Caenorhabditis elegans: one gene and its partner. The protein of the gene in region 2 purifies or fractionates together with the protein of the main gene of each other region. This does not show direct contact. Each region holds a gene or a part of one and is shown on either strand. Other genes may lie near its edges. The genes, in order: Y54E5A.5 and F35D11.4.

Region 1 (3,633 bases), on a different chromosome or scaffold from region 2:
TGTGTACTCCACGAGGAGAAAAGATTTTTTAAAGTTGAAAAAAATTATCCACGCGGAGTACACGAGAGCTTTGTGCATTGCGTATTTTTAAAACTACCGTATCTCTTTAAAATTGAAGAGTTTTATAAATATTATTGGAACACAAAAATGCGTATCAAGCAACATATTTGACGCGCAAAGTATCTCATAGCGAAAACTGCAGTAGTCATCCAAAGGATTACTGTAGAAGATATTTTGCGCGTCAGATATGTTGCGCATTACGCATTCTCAGAGTTTTTGTGCTCCCGTAATTTTTTCAGTGAAAATTGAAAAATCGAAAATCGAAATTTTTTCGATTTTTCGATACTCTGTAAAATCGAAAAATAATTTCAAAAAATTAACCATAAAATATGACTTTTTTATATAATTTTGCTTATATTTGTAAGAAAAAAACATACAAATTTCTTCTAAAAAGAAGAATAATGGCAAAATATTAAGCTAATATTTGAAAAATCTAAATTTTTTGCGAAAAATAGGAAAATCGAAAAACCGACACCCTTGCCCGTAATAGAAAACATCGCAAAAATCAATTAAACAATTAATATATACATTTTTCAGCGGTCTCTCCGACGAAATCGAGCAATATTCAGATTTTGAGAAATATCAGCTGTTAACCGAGACAAGTAGTACAATGATTGCCAGAAAAGCCCTCTCAACTCCGTCAATTTTCCGTCGGGAAGGATGTTTAGATAAATACGAAGATATTCGAAATTTTCTGGAACTCGCGTGCCAATACGACGAGTCTTACACTATGACAAAATACGTTGTTCAACGGATTCTGGGCGCCGATCAGGAATATGATCCACGTGGAAAGGCGACGGTTGCCGCCGGAAGTGTACTGCAGATTTGTAAAGCGTTTGGAATGGAGGATGTATATGATGTACGGGATTATATCTGAAAATCCGGCAATTTTCGCACTGAAAATGTGTGGAAAACACATTGAAAATCACAAAAATTCACTTGAAAATCCAATTTTATTTGAAAAATTTGATGAAAATCACAAAAAGTTAAAAGAAAAACAATATTTTCATGTATTTTCAATGGAAAATCCAAAATCCAATTTTCGTGGCTTAAATTGACTTTTCCAGTCATTTTTTGCCCTAAAATTCAATTTTCACCCAGAAAATATGCCGGAAATCGAACAAAAATTGATTTTCAAAGAATTATTCAGCTTTTCAGTTGAAAAAAAAACGTAAAACAGCAATTTTAGCGTCGAAAATTGGATTTTTCCCACTGTTCTGCAACTTTTTGCTCGAAAATTACACAAAAAATTACGGAAAAATTGGAAATTTTCAGAAATGGCGAGATGAACGAAAGAAGAAACAGAGTAAGAAGCGAGCTCGTGTTGACGATGACGGTGTTTATAATATTGAAGTCTCATTTCCATTGTAAGAATTCCTCCTAAACAAAAAACCATTAATTTTCTGCAGAAAACGCCTGAAAAACTCGGTCGGCTTCTCGCCAACGCCCAAAATGGTGCTTCACGACTATTGTGTGGAGACGAAGATCCCAAAAGCCACGTATGAGGTCGTAAAACGAGATGATAAGCGATTCGTGGCGACGGCGTGTATTGGTGACAAGAAATATCGATCAGGAATTGGACAACCGAATTTAAGAATGGCTGAGCAGGTCGCCGCGCTCGCAGCCTTACATGGAATGAATATTCGGAATCTTTTGGTTGGAAATTGGGAAGAAGAATGATGTTAAATTTGTTTTTTGCTATTTTTTTGTTAAATTATATTGAAAAATTGTTTGTTTTTGCTATAATTTGCATTTAAAATCGGTTTTATTCCATTAATTATCGAATCCCCACTGCGCGCGCGGGGATGGCAAAACGCCGTGCGGCAGTTGCAAATGGGCGGAGTTTGGAGAATTTAAAAAATATTCGAATTTATTTCGCAATTTTTAGAGATTTTCAGGCTTTTTTCAGAGTTTTCATGCGTAATTTTCACTTTAAAATGTTATTTAAGTGTGTAGGATTATAGAAATGTAATTTAATTCCGCAAATTTTGTTGAAAAACTTGGATTTTTGCAATTTTTGCAGATTTTTACATGATTTTCTTCTAATTCTCCTGTTTCAAGTCAATTTTCTCTCTAATTTTCCAAATTTTCAGGTAACAAAATGACTGACTACGGAGATGCTGATAAATACGTCAACGACGAATCGATCGAGATGGCTTGGGCGATCAAAGCCGGCGAACGGTCCGAAGTTCACATGAATCTGATAATGCGGTGTGACACTCGGGTTCTTCGGCTCAACAAGCATCAGGATGCGATTCTCGCCGCATTTCGAAGCTCATTCCCCGATTTGAATGTGGAGGAGGTGACGACGAGTTTGCTGAAAGACGGCGGAGCCAAGGAGACATGGCGCGAGTTTTGTGAGCAATTCAAGGATATCGTCGACGATTATTCAATGGGAACACTGATGAGAATTCATGCTTCGAAGGCTTACAGTCCGGAAAATACTGTGGTTGTTCCAAGAGTTAGTGGGACCCAAATTGGAAATTTTTGTGATTTTCAGCATGATTTGTAGCTAGAAATTGCAGTTTTTGCGTTTTTAGCCCAGTTTTTAGCTAGAAAACTCAGATTTTGTGATTTTCGGCATGATTTGTTGCTGGAAATTGCAGTTTTTAGCTTAAATTTTTGGGAAAACTTCAATTTCCAGCCAAAAACCCCTCATCCCTCATTTTCCCATACAAAATCGATCGATAATTAATTACAGATCATCTACCTGGCAATCGAGATGGCACGCAACGTGGAGGGTGTCAACGAGAAGAATAAGGAGGCATACACGGCTCACCGCAATTCGCTCGCCTCCTTGTAATAATTTCTCTCGTTTTTTTTTTTGAATTTTTGTTGATTTTTCCCCGTTTTCTCGTTTTCCACCCTGTCGTTTGTCTTGTAGTTTGCATATAAACCGATTTCTTCGTTTTTAAAAATGATTTATTTCCAATTTCTCGAGTTTTCCAGCTCTTTTTACTTATATTTTTGTTTATTTTTTTTCCAAAAATTGATTTTCAGATATTTTTCTCTAAGAAATGTCGATTTTGATGAATTTTTCTGTGCTAAAATTGACTTTTCAAAATTTTCTCATAGACACGTGGGATAAATGCCCTAAAACTCAATTTTAGCCTGAATAATTCGTGATTTTTGATAATTTTTCATCGGAAATCGAATGTTGGATGCTAAAAACGTTTCTTTGGCAATTTTCGAATCCCCACCGTTTTTTCTCCATTAAAATCTGGATAAGCATCTCAAAATTCATGAAAAATCACTTTTTCTGTTAAAAAGTGTTTTCTGTGATTTCTGAGCGAAATTGTCAAAAAAAAAAAGTGATTTTCGCTTCGAAAATTCGAATTCCCGAAGGAAAAACCATCAAAAACCTCTGTTTTTGAATAGAAAATGTCTAAAAATCAATAATTTCCCAATTTCTTTTCTTTCTTCTCCATAAAAATTTAATTTTCCAGAAATGTCGCTTTTCGGTACAAGTACCACGGCTCCAGCTGCTTCAACAACACCTCTTTTTGGCTCAACGGCTGCTGCTGCTCCAAAGCCTGGAGGCCTCTTCGGTGCGCCTGCTGCTGCCATGTCATC
Region 2 (3,113 bases):
TTCTTCGAGGAATGTCTCCTGTTTCACAGAATACATTGTATACCAGTAGATTCCGATAACAACACCCAAAAGTACGGCAAATGAGATGTGATTCTTGTAATTTTTCGCGAAAATCTCCTTGACTCGCTCTTGATTCACCTGGAAATTGGGAAAGAATTAAGGAAAATTGAGGAAAAAATTAATTTTAAAAAAACCTTCTCAAACTGCTTGGCGAACCGTTTCTGTGGTCGTGGTAGATCCTCAATATCGATTGTTTCCAGCATCTCATTGTCCTTCTTTTTCTGGAAAAATTTAGCTTTTTTTATAGATTTTGTATCCAAAAAAAAAAAAAACACTTTTTTTGCAAATTTTCGGCTTTTCCGGATAAATTCACGGTTTTCAATCATTTTCCGTTAACAAATCCTTGGAAAATGGTATATTATAGATTATTAGGCTAATTTCAGAGTTTTAGCTGTTTTTTTCGGGGATCAAGTCTTTTTTTCAGTTGTAGAACTTGAAATATTCGCTGAAACTTCAAAACTGGCCTGGAAATCGATTATTTAATATTTTGAAAATTTTTTTGAAGGAAAAAAAGTCTGAAATTGCAAAAAAAACTGTCTGAATATTACAACAAAAAAAATTGAAAAAAAAAACACGAAAATTTAAAAATTAATTGAAAAATAATTTTTTAAGCCTAGAAAAATAACCTCTAAACTCTACAACTTAAATATAAACTAAATTAAATCTAAATTTATCTCCAAACTAAAGGAAAACAAAACCAGATGCGAAGCTGGCAGAGCAAAATTGTTTAGATTATATTCCAAACTTTACTTTTTTTTGTTGATTTTTTGAACTAAAATCGAATCTTGGATCGATGAATTTCACGAATTTTAGGCTTTTCCAGACGAAAAAACACTCCAAAAAATTTAAAAAAACTCACTTCAATTTGTGAGAACTTCGTCGTCTCCGTCGGCAATTTTTCCTTTGTGGCAGCTAGACGGCTCGTGCTGACAAGCCTTCGGAATGCCAGTGTCCGGCAATTGAGCACAGCGAGCATCTGATATTTATTTATTTTTTTTTTCGATTAAATTGCATTATTGTTGTCAATATCACAAGGTGTTCAAATATCAAGGGAAAATGTTTGAAGCAGCGGCATGAGATTTATATTGATTTTCATATGAAATGGGGAAATGTGTACTGAAAACTTTATGAAAAGGATAAAAAGAAAGAGGAGAAATGGATGAGTGAATGGCATTTTATATCAGAAGACACGATCTTTAGAGGAGAAAAGTGTAGGGAAAAGGTGAAAGTATTCGGTTTTTTTCATGAATTTCATAATTCCTATAATTTTCTGACAGAAAAATCAATAATTTTCTTTCACTTCCGCGTATCGAACGTGAAAACGAAACAAATTCGGGGGCATGTTTGCTTTAGAAGTCTCGCACTCGTGTGAAATGAGCTTCGGACAGAAAATCACTGATTTAATGTAAATATTCAAACATTTTTAAAAATAAATTGACTAAATTCATTGAATAATTGGAAAAAAAATTAAAAAAATCAGTACAAATCGAGGAAATCCGATGGAAAAGCAGGACGAAAAAGCATTTCATTGTTTTTGTTTCCCTGGCGCTACTTCCAAGAGGAGTACACACGAGGTGGACGAGAAAACCCTCGCGGCCGCAGTTGCCCGCGAACTTTTGAGCGTTTGAACTCTCAAACTTTTTTATCAGTTTTCAGTGACAATGAATTCAAAATCACTCTTTTCTCGAATTATTCGAAATTATTCGAAGCCTTTTCCTTTTAAGTGGATTATATTTACAAAATACACCACTAATTAAGACATTTTTCAGCAATACGATGTCGAGAAACGTGGAAATCAAGGCAAAAGTTCAAAATCTCGATGAGACGGTTCGCCGCGCCGTGGAAATTTCCGGAAAACAGCCGACTATCTTGAAGTGAGTTGAATCAGAATAGTTTTATTGGAAATCAATCATAAAAATGTTTTATTATAGGCAGCATGACATCTTTTACGAGTCACCGAATGGCCGCCTGAAGATGAGAAGCGTTGAGGAGAACGGAGTGGTAAATAATAGTTTTCTTTTTTACTTTAAAATTAAAATTTTGATTTTTCAGGCCCACACAGAGCTTATTTGGTACGATAGATCTGACGTGGCTGGCCCGAAGCTCAGTAATTTCAACAAATTCGACGTTCCATCTGAAGTTCTTGATGCTCTGAAGCTCTCCCTCCAATCCTCAATGGGAGTCAAAGGAGAGGTGAAAAAGACGAGAACTCTGGTGCTCCACGGTCAAACACGAATTCATATTGATCGCGTCGATGGGCTCGGTGATTTTATGGAGTTGGAAGTGTGCCTGTCGCCTGAAGAGACTCCAGAGCACGGAGAGAAGATAGCTCATGAGATTCGGGAGCTGCTCGCCGTGCCAGAGACCGATTTGCTCACTGGTGCCTATATGGATATGTTGAAGGCTTGAAGGCTTCAATTATTTGTTAAATTTGAATTTTTTTTTTTTTCAATAGCTCTCGGTTATATGTTGTTATTGCGGATACATAAAAGTTTATGCATCAGAAAGTTTTATATTTAATCTTGCAGGATCATAATCGCTAATCTCCACAACAACAAAAAACAATTACTTCAAAAATCTGACATCATTTTTTGTATTTTTCTCCTTCCTTTTATCGAAAACCTTATCAATAGAAATGTCATTTCAGCTTTTCGATTTTATTTTATTTTTTTTCTCTCTCTCTCTGTCTCTCTCTGTCGTTTTCCTAAAATTTCGTTGAAACAGAGAGGCTCAGACAATGAGAAAAACGCTTCACTCACTCGATTAATGTGCGAATTTGGAAGCCGGAGAGTGGAAAAAGAACGGAAACAAATAATGAATAACTGATGCCGATGTTGATTATGACTTTTTGAAAAGAAATAAAGAGGAAATTTTAGTTCAGAGATATTTTTTCATCAATTCTCACTATTTTTATGTTATTTTAACTAGTTTTACCCTAAATAATTGTGTGCAGCTTTGATTCACGTTCCCGCGATTTCTAATTTTCCAATTATCTGTGTACTGTATCCCCAAAAGTACGCGAATACAACCAATGCCCCCAATATTACGACAGA

What was found.
Region 1: the proteins of F35D11.4 (region 2) and Y54E5A.5 fractionate together in Caenorhabditis elegans (co-fractionation; one large-scale study listed by BioGRID). This does not show direct contact.

What each region holds. Positions count from the first base shown.
Region 1 is NC_003279.8:14,706,396-14,710,028, reverse strand, and holds Y54E5A.5 (Polysaccharide biosynthesis domain-containing protein), read left to right. Parts: upstream 1-2,153; 5' UTR 2,154-2,161; coding exon 2,162-2,521; intron 2,522-2,761; coding exon 2,762-2,863; 3' UTR 2,864-2,970; downstream 2,971-3,633. Other genes in the region: dus-2 (DRBM domain-containing protein), read left to right, coding at 598-919, 1,336-1,427, 1,470-1,740; npp-4 (Nucleoporin p58/p45), read left to right, coding at 3,509-3,633.
Region 2 is NC_003280.10:4,601,598-4,604,710, forward strand, and holds F35D11.4 (CYTH domain-containing protein), read left to right. Parts: upstream 1-1,829; 5' UTR 1,830-1,836; coding exon 1,837-1,934; intron 1,935-1,991; coding exon 1,992-2,061; intron 2,062-2,112; coding exon 2,113-2,469; 3' UTR 2,470-2,564; downstream 2,565-3,113. Other genes in the region: coa-3 (Cytochrome c oxidase assembly factor 3), read right to left, coding at 1-138, 195-281, 920-1,036.